Linked DNA regions of Xenopus tropicalis. The main gene of each other region encodes a partner of the protein of the gene in region 5 in a complex. Links are inferred from orthologs where the notes say so. Each region holds a gene or a part of one and is shown on either strand. Other genes may lie near its edges.

Evidence for each region.
Region 1: arpc2 (region 5) and arpc1b share a complex: the UniProt entries of both Homo sapiens proteins name them as parts of the arp2/3 complex. The link is inferred for Xenopus tropicalis from reciprocal best matches to the Homo sapiens genes ARPC2 and ARPC1B.
Region 2: arpc2 (region 5) and actr2 share a complex: the UniProt entries of both Homo sapiens proteins name them as parts of the arp2/3 complex. The link is inferred for Xenopus tropicalis from reciprocal best matches to the Homo sapiens genes ARPC2 and ACTR2.
Region 3: arpc2 (region 5) and arpc3 share a complex: the UniProt entries of both Homo sapiens proteins name them as parts of the arp2/3 complex. The link is inferred for Xenopus tropicalis from reciprocal best matches to the Homo sapiens genes ARPC2 and ARPC3.
Region 4: arpc2 (region 5) and arpc5 share a complex: the UniProt entries of both Homo sapiens proteins name them as parts of the arp2/3 complex. The link is inferred for Xenopus tropicalis from reciprocal best matches to the Homo sapiens genes ARPC2 and ARPC5.

What each region holds. Positions count from the first base shown.
Region 1 is NC_030685.2:41,839,502-41,843,016, reverse strand, and holds part of arpc1b (actin-related protein 2/3 complex subunit 1B), read right to left. Parts: intron 3,090-3,515; coding exon 2,893-3,089; intron 1-2,892. UniProt on the Homo sapiens protein: Component of the Arp2/3 complex, a multiprotein complex that mediates actin polymerization upon stimulation by nucleation-promoting factor (NPF).
Region 2 is NC_030681.2:31,981,319-31,985,335, forward strand, and holds the start of actr2 (actin-related protein 2), read right to left. Parts: upstream 2,803-4,017; 5' UTR 2,701-2,802; coding exon 2,653-2,700; intron 2,443-2,652; exon of another isoform or gene 2,428-2,442; coding exon of another isoform or gene 2,416-2,427; intron 1-2,415. UniProt on the Homo sapiens protein: ATP-binding component of the Arp2/3 complex, a multiprotein complex that mediates actin polymerization upon stimulation by nucleation-promoting factor (NPF).
Region 3 is NC_030677.2:162,789,991-162,793,505, reverse strand, and holds part of arpc3 (actin-related protein 2/3 complex subunit 3), read left to right. Parts: intron 1-2,025; coding exon 2,026-2,125; intron 2,126-2,738; coding exon 2,739-2,815; intron 2,816-2,978; coding exon 2,979-3,047; intron 3,048-3,515. UniProt on the Homo sapiens protein: Component of the Arp2/3 complex, a multiprotein complex that mediates actin polymerization upon stimulation by nucleation-promoting factor (NPF).
Region 4 is NC_030680.2:99,903,105-99,907,281, reverse strand, and holds the start of arpc5 (actin-related protein 2/3 complex subunit 5), read right to left. Parts: upstream 2,813-4,177; 5' UTR 2,786-2,812; coding exon 2,646-2,785; intron 1,517-2,645; coding exon 1,444-1,516; intron 1,074-1,443; coding exon 897-1,073; intron 1-896. UniProt on the Homo sapiens protein: Component of the Arp2/3 complex, a multiprotein complex that mediates actin polymerization upon stimulation by nucleation-promoting factor (NPF).
Region 5 is NC_030685.2:85,244,809-85,249,049, forward strand, and holds the start of arpc2 (actin-related protein 2/3 complex subunit 2), read right to left. Parts: upstream 2,805-4,241; 5' UTR 2,708-2,804; coding exon 2,634-2,707; intron 1-2,633. UniProt on the Homo sapiens protein: Actin-binding component of the Arp2/3 complex, a multiprotein complex that mediates actin polymerization upon stimulation by nucleation-promoting factor (NPF).

The DNA.
Region 1 (3,515 bases), about 43 Mb from region 5:
CTTCCTGTTGGGCTTATGATCATCTGAACAGGTGAAATATGGGGAGACTTAAGGGCACTATTGAGACAACTGAAGGTATTCCTGCAGCTTGAGATTAACTCTTTATTAGTCCTTCTCTTTTAAGGCAGTGATCCCCAACCAGTGGTTCATGAGCAACATGTTGCTCCAAGTGGCCTCAAAGCAGGTGCTTATTTTTGAATTTCTAAGATTCACAAAACTTTGCAGAATCCACCAGGGAGACCGATAGTCTCAGGGTGTGGATCTATATTTCAACCATTAGCAATTTATTTGGATGTTATATGTCAGCCAATTTTTAAATTACTTCATACGTATCTGTCTGACACCACAGATTTTTTTAATAAACTCACTGAGGTAAAATTACCAGAAACAAAAGTTTTGATATGTTCCCTTGACGTCGTCTGTGATCTGTATTCCACCATTCCACATGCTGAAGGCATTGAATGCATTCGATATTATCTAACTAAGTTAAATCTTAAAACGCATGAAATTAATTTTGCATGTGATGCGTTGGAATTAATATTAACTAAAAATTACTTTGTATATTATGAACAGTACTATGTACAGCTGATGGGCTGTACAATGGGTGCGAACATGGCGCCTATATATGCGAATGCGTTCATGCATATGTTTGAGAATAAGTTCATTTTAAGTAATAAAAATTGGAATGAGCGCATTCTATATTATTGGCGCTAGAGATTTAAGAAGGGGTTGGATGGATTCTTAGCAAGTGAGGGAATACAGGGTTATGGGAGATAGCTCTCCGTACAAGTGAGGGAATACAGGGGTATGGGAGATAGCTCTTAGTACAAGTTGATCCAGGGATTGGTCCGATTGCCATCTTGGAGTCAGGAAGGAATTTTTTCCCCTCTGCTGCAAATTAGAGAGGCTTCAGATGGGGTTTTTTGCCTTCCTCTGGATCAACTAGTAGTTAGGCAGGTTATATATAGGCATTATGGTTGAACGTGATGGACGTATGTCTTTTTTCAACCCAACTTACTTACTTACTAGTGTGTGTTTAGGGAAAATGTACATAGTACTGCCAGGACAGTAAATGGGAACAAGTTTATAAACTTGCTGCATGACACCTTTATGTCACAGGTTGTTGAGGAGCCAACCAGGAACCATGCTATATTGGATCTAGTGTTCTCTAATGGCCCAGAGTGTATAGCAAATGTGCAAGTGGTTGAACCCCTGGGTAATAGTGACCATAATGTTATTTCATTTGATGTTTGGTGCAGGAAACAAATTTACACGGGGCAACAAAGACAATGAATTTTAGGAAGGCAAATTTTAGCTCCTTAAGGGCAGCGCTTCAGGGCATAGATTGGGGCATTATGTTTTCTGATAAAAACACAGAGCAGAAATGGTTGTCATTTAAAACCATATTGTTACTATAACTCAATGGGGCCACATCCTCAACCTGCATCTTTTTACTATTAATATACTTAAAAAACTTTTTGGGGTTAGTCTTGGCCTCTGCCGCAATGCGCTCCTCATTTTCTATCTTTGCCTTCTGGATTGCTGTTTTACAACACTTGTTATAGTGTTTATATTCATTAAACGCAGCTACTGTCCCCTCTGACTTATATTTCTTAAAAGCTTTCCTTTTTTTCCCTATTAACTTCTTTACCTCAGAGTTAAGCCACATAGGGTGATTCTTAACACTTCTACTTTTTCTTATTAAAGGAATAAATTGCGAATAGTAATGATTTAATATCATTTTAAATGACAACCATTTCTGTTCTGTGTTTTTATCAGAAAACATAATGCCCCAATCTATGCCCTGAAGCGCTGCCCTTAAGGAGCTAAAATTTGCCTTCCTAAAATTCATTGTCTTTGTTGCCCCGTGTAAATTTGTTTCCTGCACAAACATCAAATGAAATAACATTATGGTCACTATTACCCAGGGGTTCAACCACTTGCACATTTGCTATACACTCTGGGCCATTAGAGAACACTAGATCCAATATAGCATGGTTCCTGGTTGGCTCCTCAACAACCTGTGACATAACGTTGTCATGCAGCAAGTTTATAAACTTGTTCCCATTTACTGTCCTGGCAGTACTATGGCTCCAGTCAATATCAGGATAATTAAAATCCCCCATTATTATCACCTGCCCCAAACTAGCAGGTGATATTTGCAACAGCAGCTGAGCCTCCTCCTCCTCACTTACATTAGGGGGTCTATAGCATACCCCTACAATTAGTTTGGTAGATTCTTTACTATCTGTGAGAAGCTCAACCCATAAGGATTCAGCTCCCTCTGTTACCCCCATTGCTTCCTCTTTAATATTTGCTTTTAATTCTTGCTTAACGTAAATACACACTCCTCCTCCAATTCTATTGCCCCTGTCCCTCCGAAACAATGTATAACCCCCAATATTAACTGCCCAGTCATGTGACTCGTTCAACCGCTACAATGCCAGTACCTCCAGCTCTCCCATTTTACCAGTCAGACTTCTTGCATTGGTAAACATACATTTAATACTGGTTCCGGCGTGAGAATGACGTGTAAACAACTTATGGGCCTCCCTGCCATTATCAGTATCCCGAAGCAAGTCTCCTCCCCCATTTTCCCTTACTATGCCCACTACCTCATCTATCCTGTCTACCACAGAATTACCTGCTGCACCCCCCCCCACTCCTAGTTTAAAATCTCCTCCAACCCTCTAGCCATCTTTTCCCCCAAAGCAGCTGCCCCATCATCATTGAGGTGCAGCCCATCCCTGGCAAAGAGCCTGTAGCAAATAATTTTGAAAGCTTTCTAGGTACATAGGCCATGTACTAAATCAAATTCAGGGGATAGTTAGCATTAGAGTACTTGGGTGCATCTAGTAATTTAAGTGCTAGCATTTGTGTGCGCGTCCTTGCCTGATGCTGTTCTTGTGTAAGGAGTCCAGGGTAACGTTGTTGGTATCAGAGCTGGCCTTCTTGTCCAGGTTTTGAAATCTCTCTCGTGCAGTCATCCCTCTCTGGGAACTCTGCTTGGGGATATCAAGTTTTCCCCCAAAACTCAAAGTCCCCTGAGCTTCAACATAAGAGTAAAGTACTGGATAGCAGTCATGGCCCTGCCAAAAAAAAATTGTTAAAGGAATTGCATCATATTGTGCTAAAGATTATTACAATCTACTCTTACAAACAGAGATTAGGCTGACTGCATTCGGGGTATTTAGAAACAGCCTGATGCTCATAGAAGGAAAGCCCAATTGCGCCTTCCCCACTAGCAGACCCAAAGTTTTGTTTTTTGCCACCCCTGGTAACTCAGGGGCTGCTGCTGAGGTTAGTTTATCAACTCATGGCCACAGCACCCCTGGTAACCATGATCTCATTAATAATATTAAAAAAGCTAACAAAAATATGGATAATTGGTTTTTGGTCAATCATCTAATTCCCCAACATAATCTAGTTTGAGAGGAAGAGTTTAAAAAAAAACAAAAAAAAAACAAAACACCAATTATATGTTGTTAAGAACATTGTGATTGCTCTGATTGTCC
Region 2 (4,017 bases), on a different chromosome or scaffold from region 5:
CTCTGAAAAGCATGCCTGTGGTCGGCAAATGTAGAATAAGCACATTCCCCAAAATAAACCAGCCCAGGCTATTTAAAGGAGAACTATGGCTAAAAGCCAAGACATTTAATTTGTCATTTTTAAACAATTCCATTATTTCCAATATTTTTTTAATAAATATCCTTCCTTTTAATGGGAAGCAAACGCAGTGTATTGCCAGCCAGTGGGGCGGGGGTGGCAAATGACTGGATCAGAATTAGGTGTCTATTGTAGGAAAGGATATGCTTCTTAATCTTAACGTGTGTCCAGCTCAACACTGTACAATAGAGAATATGAATTCCAAAAGCAAAAAAAATTGCTTCTCTAGAAAATGACCATAATATTCAGTATTCATATATTTCTGATGATTTATGAGCATAAGAGACAAGAGAACCTGCATAGGGCACTGTACCTGTTGACATCTAGGGAAGAACCAAATACAGTATTTGTGTTAGATTCAGACAAACCACATCCTTAAAGTCATATTACAAACTTTAAAAAAAAATCTTAAATGTGAATATGTACTTTAAGCGTGGATTCTATTTGGTATGCAGCCAAATCTTTGTGGAGGAATTGGCACTCATGCAAATCCAAAACTTATGGATTTTATGCATCACATGGATTTTTCAGGTAACTATTGCTTGGAAGCCTGCCATTGCATGCAGGGAGAAACTGGGCATAACCGAAGTGTCTGTGGAAGAGGTGGAGAAAACTGAAAACCACATTATTTGGAGTTCTTATTTTTTAGCTAATAAAAATAAAACTTTAACACTTTTTCCATATTACTTTGCTAAACAATGGGAATGATTTTTGAGTGTATTAGTCAAGTCAATAAAAAGTCTTGATTTAAAACTTGGGTCACACAATAGGATTAGTCATCACTGCTATTCTGGAGTCAAAATTACTCGAGCGATAGCTGCAAAATGAATGGCTTCCCAATAACTTTGCTGGGAGACCAAAATATCTGCTCTCTTAACTTGTTTGTCTTCTGAAATGTTGCGGTGTTGTATCTCCTTGTATGACATTAGCCTAACAGGGAAGTCAGAACCATTCTTATCAAAGACTCGCTTGTAAAATGCACACCTTTGCTCTAATCTGAATACGCCACACCCCAGAATGCCTGAGGTGGGAGTGAAACAAGCAGCTACAGAGAGACCTCATACCAGTAGCTGTGCATTCATGTTATTGTTCAAAGTAGAATCTTACTCTCACCACCACGAATACAATAAATTAAACATGAGCGACACTCAAACTGTAATGTAGTGCAAGTACTGGTTGAAATAGAACTACTTTTACAAGCCTAAATATGTTTGTAGCATCTATACAACATACATAAGAGGTGGAAAACCTATCCCCACCCCTGTTGCAAAACCTCATAAGAAGCAGAACTATCTGATGCTGGTGTGAAAGTACAACTCTGCAGCATGCTCACTTTGCTCGGCAGGGTGTCTTTTCAGACATTTTAATTTGTAAAAAGCAATCACTAGAAAGTCAGCCAGTTGAAACGCAATAATCAAACGAGAGCATGCTATGATGGGCATAGATCAGGGGAGCATCAGCCTATATCAACCTGAAAAGTACTATACAATTTATATTCAAGAGCCTATTTAGAGACATCTTAGTAGTTCTGAGGTCATAGAACACCCTTGTCTGGCTATGGAGCAGATCCCCAAAGGCTACGTGACAAAGTTAATAAATTTCCTATAAGCAAGAAATTGGCGAGGCGCGCTACATATGCTGTGGCTATATTTCAAGGGTTTCTATAACTACGAGCACAGTTTTAAATGGAATAATGAGCCAATTGTTGCAGCAGGAAGTGTGAAAGGTATGGACGGGTCCTGGAAAGTAGGTAGCAACAAGCTGCTTCATAACTAGAGGTTAGAGCCCCCATTATTTTTCAAAAATGGATGCTGAAACCACTCATCAGTCGCATGGGCCCCCCAGTCGCAGGGTCCACTTCCTGTTTAAGAAGCTCACTTTGGCTTCTTTACAAACCTGTAATACTACTCCCACACTTGTCATTGTGCAAGCCAGTCTTTAAATTCATTATACACCATGTCTCCAATTGTCTTACTCTTCCTCATATGGTGCAGGCCTTTATTGGCATCACAACAAGCTTATGTGCAAGAAATAAACGTTTTGGCAGAAACATTTTACAGGGACTTCAATGACAATGGTTCTGTTATGGCAGATTGTGGCCCTGGGAATAATGACTTTATCAGGATCCCCTGACAGCCCTAATTCTAAAACGGCCATTCATTCTATGCCAGTCCATTCAGCGGGAGCAATCTGTATGGTAACTCCCATTCACACTATATAAAAAGGTGATGTCTGTGAGCAGGCACAACGACAAGCTGTTCTCTTATGATAACATAGCAATACATAAATTGCACTTTCCCTTTGCAACATGAACCCGAGGCGAGATACAGGGGGTGAGTGATAGTTCAACATCAACTTGACAGCTACAGGTTGGACAGTCCCTGGAGACGCAGAACATCCGCGCTACTGAGCGCACAGCCAGTTCCGTGCAGCACCTCACAGCCGGGCCCGGTGGGTGTCAGCTACTGTGCTTTATCACTGCAACAGGAAGTGACAACCAACACCCAATACAAATTGGCGGGCATAAGTACTCACCCCGGTGCCGTTGTCGCACACCACTACCTTCCTGCCTTGGCTGTCCATTATGTTGTTTCCCTCCTCCGCCGGCACCGGAGCCTGAGAGCAATCTATCAGTCAGTCAATAGACCGGAAGTGCGCCCACCGCCCAGGCACCACCACTTCTGCTTCTCCTACGGGAAGAGGCAGCACGTGACACAAGTCAGCCAATAGCGGAGAAGATAGGCGGTACCACCAAGCGAAGGCTGTAGACGTAACCTGTGGGCAGGCCAAACCCCCAGCCCTGTGACGAACGGTGCCGTGGACATCTTTTTTATGGGAACAAAGTTTCACTAAAACCAATTAGAATAAGCTTAATGACCATTTGTTGCAGGAGGCAAGTTAATGTGTTGAAATAGAAGCAACTGAATGGTTGGTCTTTTGTTTTGGGTTAGTGTATTCCCCTAATGTTAAATAGTTATATAATGTGAGCAGTGACTTCATTTCCAGTGGCTGGCCCTAATCACTAGATAGATCAGATGAGTATTACCTGCTCAGTGTAAGGGGATTGATTCCCAAATCAGCAATGGCCGCTCCTTGTGTTGGGGCTTGATCGTACTCTCGCGATGCTATGGGGCGAGGCTGCCGCGCCCGGTCCGGCTTCTGTCAGTTTAGTTAGGGTTTCAGTAATGGCAGGTGGGGATTCCTAGCTTTGGCCCATCAAGCTGGAATGTACATGTAGCATTATGCATTAATCAGTTCACTGTGTATTACAGCATTCGCTTTTATCCTCCCGACTGTAGCATTGGGCTCAGGCCTAAAGAACAAATGCTAAAATAACTGGGGGGTTGTGGGAACGTTAGTAAAGAAAGCATGACTGACCTGGCCAAACTTGCTTTAAACACCCTATCCATTGCTTATTTCACCATATTTCAGTTAATCTAAACTGCATTTCTGAAAGTGTTCCAGCTATTGTCATTATTCTTCATTTTTGTAATGCTGCTGCACAAATATGGCTGCCTCCTCAGGATCAGGGGAATCAGATCAGGTAATATAAAAGTATTGTGCAAATAATTTCATAGCACCCCATTCCTGAATAAGCCGCACAGTTTGACACCTCATTCGTGGGTCTACGACAAACTAGTTATTCGCCAAAATCCCCATTATAAGTCAATAGGCAAATTTGGGGACGTCTCTTGCCCCGGGGGTAAAACTTATACCCTTCTGACAGGTTGTAAACCTCTTCAAATGTGGTAAATTTCACGTTTCTAAAAAATTCCCTCTCTTCGCTACAATCCGTCAAAGTTGGCCTGCAGGGGCAATTAACCGCCCACCCCTTAGAAAACTCATAGCACCCCATTCCCGAATAGGCCGCACGATTTGACACCTCACTCATGGGTCTAC
Region 3 (3,515 bases), on a different chromosome or scaffold from region 5:
CCTTGGAGGGTACTTAAGCTGGCCATACACGTGGCGATCTGACGATGTTTCGTGCAACCATCGGTCGCACGAAACATCGTCAGATCCGCCACACACCATTCAGGGCTGAATCGGCAGGTAAGTAGGTAGAAACAATAGGATTTCTACCTCCTTCTGCCGATTCAGCGATGAAGGGAGATTTTGGTCAGGCGGCTTCTATGGCACCCGATCAAAATTTTCAAACTGGTCCGATCGGCGAGTCGGGCGATATCAGCAGCTTCCTGCGATATCGGTCGACTTGCTGACATACCTTCGTTTCGTACGATATTATCGGTGCGTGTATGGCCACCTTTACTCTAGATTATGCAATATAAAAAATTTTGCTGTGGCGATTTACATAGCCAGCAATGACAGATCATTTCAGTACAAAATCACCATTTGGTTCTAATCTGTTTACTCCCACATAGATCACCTGACAGGCAATAGTGCAGCACTTACTGTAACAGGGAGTGAAATAAACAGCTCTGTCTATTAGGTTCCTGATGTAAACTAGCACTGTGAGCACAGTACTTCATTTGAGGGAGAGGGCAGACTTTAGCACTTAAAATGGAAGTGTTTCAATATGGGATTGTTATGGCACATACTGCTAATATATTTAGGTATTTTATTTTTATGAAATCGCTTTGTGTGTATGAAACACCATACACAACAACCTTCTTTTAAGTGTGTGTTAAAACTCTTAGCATTTATGTACTATTATCACTGTCTAGTTTATAATAACCATACCCCTGTTTGTGTTTACACCTTGTAAAGCACTAATGTACATTTGTGGTTTTATATAATAGTGCAGCGGAAGCTTTGTGGGTTGCCATTCTGTACTATGCATGATTATCAGGGGGCTGGGATACAGGCCTGAACTGTGGGTTCTGACAAATGCCAGAGGGGCTACTGTAAGATGCCATAGACAGTCACTATATATTGGGCTGGTGGGGGCTGTTTGGGCCTCTGTGTACTTGAAATGCCAGGGCCTATTTTGAATCCCAGTCCAGACCTGCTGGAATAAATCATGGTTCTTCACATTGCTAACAGATGAAAGCCCCCTGAGCAGGTCACATGAATTTTGATCTGTTCTAAAAATGCCATAGGCCTTAATGTTTATTAGCGTGATTAGTTATGAAATTTGAGACTCAAAAGTAAAGCAAGGCCACACCTTTGTATAAAATATTGTTTCAAGGTCAAGTTTCAAGGTCAAGTATTGTATCCAAAATGTAGCTGTGCATGTTAGAACTATCCCACATAGCAATGACCCCCAGCTACTTCTGCAACATTATTTTACTCCTCCCTGAATGCTTAAAGGGGTCCTCCACGCACACAGTCTTTTGGATAAAAAGAAAACAATTCTAAGCAACTTTCATATACATAAGCAAAAGATTTTCAGTGGGTATAAAGTTATTTATAAAGATAGTTGTAATTGAAAGTACTGTTTGTTTATGTATTAAAACAATGTAACAGACCTAGAAGAGTTATGACAGATACTGTGTTCAGTAGCAATTACATTTACAAATAACTTTAAAACCATTGAATTTTTAAAATGAACGCATATTGGAAAGTTGCATACAATTACATTTTCTTTTACTGTGTAATAAATTGTTTTTGGATGGAGAAACCCTTTCATTTTAATGGTGATCCTTTTCTCTAAACGCAAAAGGATTTGGGTAACAGCATAGGCCTTAAAATCAGATATTAATTCTGAACATTATATATAAATCTTTTTATAATTGGTAATGTAAAACCGTAATTAGGAGAATTAGGATAAAATACTATAGAAACTGTCCACCTAATGGTACAGTTATTATGGCATAAATGTCTTACTGGTCAGCTAGTGGCTGCAGAAAATCTTGAAGGAATTGACTGAGGTATTGTGTAAGATTATACATTTCTAACAAAAAACAACTGTCTGGATAAAAAATAGTTTAATAAAAAACCTTTTCACACTGAGCATATATAGCTCTTAAAATGTTAAAGCTTTTCTGATTTGTGTTTCAGGCCTACCATTCAATGCTTATGGAGTCAGACACCAAGCTGATTGGTAACATGGCAATGCTACCCATAAGAAGCCAGTTTAAAGGACCAGCCCCTAGAGAAAGTAAGTCTTACCAACCCCAAATGTTTTACATAAATTCCTCATGTTATCCATGTGGCGGGTCTCAGCTTGCTGGAGGATTCCTCAATGCAACCAAGTGTTAATTCAGTAGTTCTCTTGGAATTTTTACTTTAGGCCCATCAATAGTCCGTGATGCAGTGATTGCTGCTTATTATGTAATATATATATATATATATATATATATATATATATATATATATATATATATAATTATATATTGTAATGCAAATAATAAAATTCTATATTGGAGATTATATGCATTATATAATGGGGTTTTGTGCTGCTTTGCATGTAGGTATATGTTATATATAGCTTTTTTTAATTGATCCATTAATGAGAGAGAAGGCATTGGGCATAATTTGCAACAAAAAAATATGAATTATGTTAATTAATGATATGTTGCCTATAGCAACCAATCAGATCTTGGTTGCTTGATCAAAGCGGATCAGTTGCTAAGGACAACTGCACTAGTACAATTGTTATAAATCGGCAAATATTTAAGTATTTAACTATTGCAAAATGAATATAAGTTTTTAGCTTGTATGAACATTACAGCATTTTTGTCCATAATCACTTTTGTATTTTGTCTTTCAAGCAAAAGACACAGATATCATTGATGAAGCTATTTATTACTTTAAGGCTAATGTTTTCTTCAAAAACTATGAAATAAAGGTAAGCTATCAGATCTCACTATGCAAAAAAATCTTACTGAAACGTTGCAAATTCTATATCCACATAGTGGGCACATTTCCTACTTCGCTTTATAATAATGTTTTTTTTCGCTAGTAAACAAAACTAATATTCACTGTTTGTATATAAACGCTTCTCTTTACAGAACGAGGCTGATCGGACATTAATATACATAACTCTGTATATTTCCGAATGCTTAAAAAAACTACAGAAGGTAAGATTTGGTAGCCTTTTTGTGCTACATACTACATGACTTAAAGGAGAACTATACATTATTAGGAAAAAAAAACTGACCAGCAGATAATTTATATCCCAAGTGACCTACGCATATACATGTATGTGTACTTGTATGTCACTCGTATCCACTAGTGCTGTAATGCACACCATCCCATTAGCCATGCATTGTATTTCCTTTGAATGCAGCTTAAAGAAAGCATATACATTTGTATGGCTGAAGTACTTTACACATAGCAAATTTTACCTGTCCCATACCATAAATGTTCTCTCTTTGTTTTGTTAGCTGTCCATTGTTTTACAAAAGTGCCTTTTTTATAGGCAGTGCTTCTGAATAAGGTTCTGTGTCTTGTTTAAGCTTCATTTGTGCAGAGTGCGAGATATACAAATGAACAAGGACAAGCCCTCATTGCTACAAATATGCACTTGGTGTATGTGTGAGACCCCT
Region 4 (4,177 bases), on a different chromosome or scaffold from region 5:
GAGGCTGTGCTATCATTTATTCCTGTCCCTCTAGATTCAGTGACAACATTTTGTCAATCTGGACAGACCCTGCTTGGGTTTGTCCAACTATTTTGTTAAAGCCATATTTTAGTTTTGCCATAAAGAAGAAACTCGAAAAATCGGATTGGAAACGAACATTTTGCGATTTTTTCGTGAATTGTCGCAAATTGTTGCAACTTTTTCGTAGCCGTTACGACTTTCGCGAGTTGTCGCAACTTTTTCGTATTGAGCGCTTTCGTACTCGGCACGAGAGTACGATTTTTTCGCGACGGAAAAGTCGCGACGGCGACAAAAAAAATCTCAAAATACAGATCATTACAAATTAGTAAATTTGCCCCTAGGAGTTAAATCCTTGTGTACATGCTCCCTCACTGAACAAGTTTTGGGAGGGCATGAAGTGTGCTGTTAACAGTGTTCCAAAACTGCTCAGTTACTGCTACCACTCAAAAATATAGAATCAGATTTCATGGATAATTTTGTCCCTAACAACTGCTGCTAGGGGAGACCTACAGGGTCTGAAACATTTTTAGAAGAGGGATCAGCATTAAAAGGTATCTACTTATATGGGAAGGCACTGTATGCCTTTAAAGAATAAGTAAACCTTTTTTTTTTTTTTTTTAATCTAAATTTACTCTAAAATTACTCTGTTTAGCCCCCAGAATAACATACCTTTTTTCCCTGCATCCAGAATTACTTTGTCTCTCTATTACAAGCAGATGAGCTGCATCTCTTTTACCGGCTTCCTTGTCTAGTGTGAAGCCCCGCCCCTTTTGCTTTATGAGTCCCCCTTTCTCTCTCTCCGACTATGATGACCTAATAGAGGTGCCTACTCTGCATGCCTGATGTGTTTGTCAGCTCCATAGTACTTTGCTCACCTTCTCATGCCACTGCAACAAGACAGCACTGCTGTTGTCAGACGGACTCTCAAAGCCCTTGTAGATGTATTTCATTAAGAGGTCCATGTTATTTTTGTCTAAAGATTGAACAGCCTTTTCTATGTCATTAGCTTTAAAGGAGATTAGAACTTTCAGCACCAGGTGCTCAGCTCGATCCTAAGTAAAAAGCAATGATAAAGTCAATGTCCATACTCCAAAATTTAAAATAAAGAGTTAGAAAATTGTAAAACTGTATTGGAAAACTTGCTGGTATGACCAACTGAGTAGTGGCTGATTATTGGTACAGAATGCATTAAGTGCAGCAAAATAAGTTTGGCTGAAAGTAAGATATGAATATAATTTATAAAATAGTGTGGCAATAAAACTATTGGCAGGAGGAACAAAAAGCAAAGAGGAAGTAAGCACTGACTGATGTATATTCTGTACCCAATACGCCACTTTATAACTACCTTATTTATCCTTCAGCAAATAATAAGCAAATGAATAACAATTTGTTTCCTGTTGTATTTTACTAGAAGCATATTACCTTGGCAGACTGATTCTTGGTATTAATTGGTGGGTTCTTTAGAGCAGCTTGCAGAGCTCCCATCATGTTTCCTGTAGCAAGCTGTTAAGGGAATAACGTACTGACACAAAAGAAATGCCATACAATAATTACAGAACAATTTCAGTTGATGCTTTATATTCACAGATCCCTATATGGCCCTGGCCTAATATTAGCATAAATCTGAAAAAGCCTACTGTGCATATATATGGAAATATGGTCTGAATTGAAAATGTGTTAAAACTAATGAAAAAAATATAGATCTGGGACAAAAGTGTAAAAAAAGCCAACCAAGCAGAAGTTCCCATGCTTCCTGATGACTGAGACTGAGCCACTTCCTGCATTCCTAAACCTGAAGCAAGACCAAGCTTGCCTCACAAAAACATATAGCTTGTACTATAACACCACAACGACCAATAACTGCTACAGAACCATCAAGGTGTGTTTAACTGTGTGCTCAACCTGTGTGTAACTTGGCTCAAAGTCCACTATTGTATTATCCACCCTTGGAAACACCGATAAGAAAGCATGTAAATGTATGTGATTTCAAACAGAGAGAGAGTGAGAAAGAAAGTGTTTTTGTTTAGATAGACAGAGAAAAAGAAACAAAATGCACAGGATAAAGTGACTGACACTCCCACAGCCTCACAGCAAGTTCCTCTTTGTAGGAAAAGGAGATTAACTACTGACATTTCCTACACAGCAGAGCCTCTATATACGGTTTGCAAGTATTTTGCTTGCCATAGATCCTTTAGGTATGTAATATGGAGTCAGTGTGCAAACTGGAGTTGGTATGCACAGCTTCTGCATATCCACACATAGCAAATGACAAGGTGCATAGACAAAAGCAAATGTGTATTGACTCCAGTTTGAAAGCTTATTAGGCTACCATATCAGGACTATGCCAGTTTATTCTAGTAGATATTCCTGAAACCTTAGCTTGGAGATCAAACAAAGAGAAGGGTGTAGGGGGAAGTATAGGCTTTGCAAGATGAAGATGAGTACAAAGCATGACAGGAATAGTGGAAACAGTGGCAGTCAGCCCTCTCCATGTGACACCGCACACCTTCAGCATGTTAGCACTATGACACGGTACAGCCCATATGTCAGGCGATTAGGAGCATGTCTGTTCATACAAAGGTACAATGCCAGGCCCTGCCAGCACAGACAACATACAAGGATATCCCCGAATCGCGCTATCAACCTCCCCCTCGTCGGGTCCTTGCTGTCCTTCTCCCGCCTCCTCTTCGTCAACGAATTTGTTCTCATCATATTCATCCACATCTACTTTCCGGAAGCGTGCAGACACCGTATTCTTCGCCATCCCGAACCGGAGACTCTGTGCTGCTGGCAGGGAGCGGTCGTACTCAATGCGCAGGCGCAGCGGCTTCCGCTTTTATTCTCGGCTTCCGGAGACTGTCAGAGCGCTAGTTTTGCTGGTGTGGTTACCTCTGCCGGGATTAAGGCAGTATCAAAGCGTTCAGTCTATTCTGTGGGCTTTACCCAGGCGGGACACTCAGGCTGGGCCCGTGGGTAGTACATTTACCTGGGCGGTGGAGGTGTCAGGGGATAATCAGTTTGGTGTTTTCCAGTGACCTGACCTGTTGCATGGTAAAAAAAACTGTGGCATGGCTTGCTGGACTGCTTTTGTACAGAAAAAAAGGATTTTCTGGCAAAGTCCTCACCGTTTTGTGGGTTTCACGCAGTGCAGGACGGGTGTTTATATAAATCCAGACTAAATAAATAAAGTTAGGTATTGTAAGTGTATTGAGTGCATTTTGTGGAAGTCTGTGTTGCTGCATATGCTGATGGAATATGTGTATTTCCAATAGCATGTTTTATATAATATCCTGTGGTTGTCATCCCCTTAATTCAATGTTCCAATAGTTTATGTAATGGTACTATAGCAATGGCTTGTTGTCAGATCTTGTTATAATGTTAGTGTTTAATATAAAATAGTTTTTGCTTGTTCTACCCCCTCCCCCTTTTCCTTCTGAGCCTCCTCCATTCCTTGGGGCTGTTGCCTCGAGAGGAAACTTTGTCGATTTCAGCGCCGCGTATGGCATCCCACTGGCGATTTACATTCTAGCCGGTGGGATGGCATTTTGGGAAGATTAGTCGCCTGCACCAAGGTAGATTTGTCGCATGGCGACTAATCTCCCCGTCTGTCACAGCCCTTACGAAAGACGTGTAAATATAGAATTAAAAAAAAAAAGAATATCCTGTGGCAGACAATTATTGCCCCCCGGGTTGTGGACCCCTAACAAGTAACATAGTAAGTTAGGTTGAAAAAAGACATATGTCCATCAAGTTCAACCATAATGCCTATATATAACCTGCCTAACTGGTAGCTGATCCAGAGGAAGGCAAAAAAGTTTCCTGCCCAGTTCTCACAGGTGACATAAAACCTCAATATAGCGTCAAACAGTAATAAGAATGGGAACACAGGAGCAACTATGCCCTTCCATTGCCTGACAGGCTTTACTAGGCACACTTTCTTCTTTTTTTGTTGTTAAAAAGACAGATTCTAAAAGTCTTTCTGCATTTGGTTAATATGGTGATTTTATACACAGTAAATTGTCATTCTAGACACCATTTTCATGGATTTGGAGTACCGTTTAAAATCAGTCAATGTGAGTTTTTTTCTCATCATAAGCAACACTTTGGTGGTGTTCATAATGTCAAACTCATGTACAGGCAAAATGTTGCTACTTCA
Region 5 (4,241 bases):
ATCTAATGGGGGGGTCAGTATTGGGTCTGTGTGGGGAAAGCAGTATATATTTAAACCCTGACAAATAAACTGAGATTCTGTCGCCCAATCTGACCGTCACATGACCAGCAAATTAACTTTTAGTATGTTATAGAATGGCCAATTCTCAGCAACTTTTCAATTGGTCTTCATTATTTATTTTTTAATCATTTGCCGCCTTCTTCTGACTTTCCTGCATTCAAATAGGGGTCACTGACCCCGGCAGCCAATGAAAAAAAAACCAAACAAACTACTTCCCCATGAGGCTACAATTTTATTGTGTTTGTAACTTTTTATAACTTGTTTTTGTATTCAGGTTCTCTACTGACCATACGCCAATCCCTTGTTCTGCCACACCATGGTTGCTAAGGTACTTTGGACCCAGATAGCTGCTAAAATTCCAAAATTGAGAGCTTCAGAACAAAAAGTGAAATAAAAAGTGAAGACCAATTGCAAACTGTGTCACAATATTACTTTCTACATCATCCCAACCTCTTGAAGTCTAGAATGGATTCTTCAGCCAAGGCAAGTCATATGGCAGCTCCTAATCATAATTATGCATACATTTCCATGCTAACTAGGATATCATAGGGTATTAGGGCCACACACATTTATATCGGACACTAATAAGCAGCAGGGTCCAGTCTGGTTCATGCCCCAACAGGCAATTTTACTGGTTACCAGTAGAGCCGGGCTTGTCCCAGCATGCACTGCAACGCTAGAGGAATCTTTACTGATAGGACCTGCCAGGACAGGCGCAGAAATGCACCCAGGATGAGGAAGTTGGGCCCCCACCCCGTATATGGTAGCTCCTTCTCTGAAGTCTCACAGTGGGCGGGGCCAATAGCAGAATACAGATATATATATATATATATATATATATATATATATATATATATATATATATATATATATAGTGAGAGAATGAATCATATCTCAGCTCTGTATTCTCCCATCTCTGAGCTCAGTGCAGAGCGTGAAGTTACCACATCCGATAGCCTCACGGTGTCTGCAGTGGGGGTGTAGGGGGCAACAAGAATGCAACAGGCACCCACCCCGAGGGGCCACTTACACGGCCTGGAAAGGTTTAACTGCAGCTCTCTGCATTCTCTCTCAGCAAAGACACATTTATAGTGTAACTGACACTGCTACAATGTATCAACATTCTGCAACTTTCTCATAGGCAGAGAGGCTCAGTCTGCAGGGGCCCTGGGGTGCTGGAAGGTAATAGGATCAGCAGCTGGAGGGCCACATAGCACTAACTCTATCAGTGGGGCAGCCCTTTCCTACCCCCGTCTCACCTTCCTTGCACCCCATATTATGTTCATAACCCGGCCCTGCTCCCAGCCCCACCCCTTGAGCCCTTATTAGAGTGTGAGCTTCATTCCCACCCAGCCTCACACTGTAACCCCCCCTAAGCCCCACATAGTACCCCAATACCATTTCCCTATTTTCTGCCCTGTCTCCCTTATTCACTGTACCCCAACTTTAATTTCCAGAAGCCGCTGTTAATTCTTGCCCCTCTTACACCCCAGCCCTGATATGTACCCCACCTTAGACTTCACCCCATATTTATTCCTCCAACTTCTGCCCTGCATTTCTTTACCAGTCCCCACTGTTACCCCAGCTCAGGTATGTACCCCAAGTCCCACTCTGTTTGCCCCAGCTCAGGTATGTACCCCAAGTCCCACTCTACTTGCCCCAGCTCAGGTATGTACCCCAAGTCCCACTCTACTTGCCCCAGCTCAGGTATGTACCCCAAGTCCCACTCTACTTGCCCCAGCTCAGGTATGTACCCCAAGTCCCACTCTATTTGCCCCAGCTCAGGTATGTACCCCAAGTCCCACTCTATTTGCCCCAGCTCAGGTATGTACCCCAAGTCCCACTGTTTGCCCCAGCTCAGGTATGTACCCCAAGTCCCACTCTATTTGCCCCAGCTCAGGTATGTACCCCAAGTCCCACTCTATTTGCCCCAGCTCAGGTATGTACCCCAAGTCCCACTCTATTTGCCCCAGCTCAGGTATGTACCCCAAGTCCCACTCTATTTGCCCCAGCTCAGGTATGTACCCCAAGTCCCACTCTATTTGCCCCAGCTCAGGTATGTACCCCTAGCTCTACTCCTCTTCCTACCCCAATCCACTTCCCCCTATGGGATAACTAGTAAAATAACGTAAAACCGTGTGAGGGCTCCGAAACATAAGGAATTGCCCATTCTCACCATACTCATATTAAAACTTTTAATCGGTCAATGTCCAGCTGGGCCCCCACCCATCCCGGGCCCCCACCCATCCCGGGCCCCCACCCACCCCGGTCTCAGTCACACAGCCGGCCGCCCCCTCTATACACCGCCAGCACTTACCCCGCCGGCCCTCCCGCACTCACCCCGCTCCCCCGGCCCTCCCGCACTCACCTCCCGCACTCACCCCGCTCCCCCGGCCCTCCCGCACTCACCCCGCTCCCCCGGCCCTCCCGCACTCACCCCGCTCCCCCGGCCCTCCCGCACTCACCCCGCTCCCGGCCCTCCCGCACTCACCCCGCTCCCCCGGCCCTCCCGCACTCACCCCGCTCCCCCGGCCCTCCCGCACTCACCCCGCTCCCGGCCCTCCCGCACTCACCCTGCAGCCGCATTTTCAAACTTGAGGTTGAGGGTCTCCTCTATGATCCGGTTATTCACCTCCAGCAGGATCATGGCGGCACCTGGCGGGGGACAGCAGGGAGGGGTCGGATCGGTATCTCGGTGTCAGTGTGTGACAGGCCGCCGCTCCCTGCCCAGAACCACTTCCCTCTTCCCGTACTGCAAGATGGCGCCGCCCACAGCAGCTTCCTCCGTACAGAAACATGGCCGCCTCCGTCCCGCGCCTCACCAGGCTGCGCGTAATTCCGTACCGCAACATGGCCGCCACATTACTGCATGTAAAACCAAATCATTCCCGGCGTCTCACTATTCCGCACGCCAACACGGTCGCCCACTGAGCAGATTCCTTAAAGACCCTGAAACTATCGCAAGTTATCCGCCATCTCACTATTCCGTACAGCATTATGGCCACGCCGTCAAACCTTTTGATACTGACTGGGCTCGATACACTTGTTTTCAGGGTTGGCGGTTTTCCCGCCAAATTGGGCTACTAATTTAAAGCCCAGGTGGGTTTCCAAAGTACAGATTTGGGCTATTTGTTTTGGAGCCTTGGCGGGTTTGTAGTTTGGGAACTAGCCAAAGTTTTTTCCCCTAGTGTGTCTTTCCCACTGCATGCTGGGTAATGTAGTTTGTATCTTACAATTAGCCTACAGCTAGGATTAATATAAAACTACAGTACCCAGCATGCAATTGGATAGTATAGACCAAGGTTTCTATTCTATTTAGGCTCAACCTGTCTGTTCTACAACCTGCTCTATAGGGTATGAGCTTACACCATTACTTTCTACTGGGATGTGGGCCAGTTCTACCCCCTGCTCCCTGCTCTATAGGGTATGTGATTGTACTGTTACTTTCTACTGGGATGTGGGGCAGTTCTACCCCCTGCTCTATAGGGTATGTGATTGTACTGTTACTTTCTACTGGGATGTGGGGCAGTTCTACCCCCTGCTCTATAGGGTATGTGATTGTACTGTTACTTTCTACTGGGATGTGGGGCAGTTCTACCCCCTGCTCCCTGCTCTATAGGGTATGTGATTGTACTGTTACTTTCTACTGGGATGTGGGGCAGTTCTACCCCCTGCTCTATAGGGTATGTGATTGTACTGTTACTTTCTACTGGGATGTGGGGCAGTTCTACCCCCTGCTCTATAGGGTATGTGATTGTACTGTTACTTTCTACTGGGATGTGGGGCAGTTCTACCCCCTGCTCCCTGCTCTATAGGGTATGTGATTGTACTGTTACTTTCTACTGGGATGTGGGGCAGTTCTACCCCCTGCTCTATAGGGTATGTGATTGTACTGTTACTTTCTACTGGGATGTGGGGCAGTTCTACCCCCTGCTCCCTGCTCTATAGGGTATGTGATTGTACTGTTACTTTCTACTGGGATGTGGGGCAGTTCTGCAGTTGATTCTTAAGCTATAACTCTCATGATATCTTGGGGCTGTGAGAGTTGTAGTTCAACACACCCATATGTATATCATGTCTGGGGTTAATGCAACATTCTGAATCCATTTCTGTAGTGATTTCCCAGCCGGACTGGGCCCAGAGGGAATTATCAGCCATCCCAGTAACTGGGGAGGGGGCAC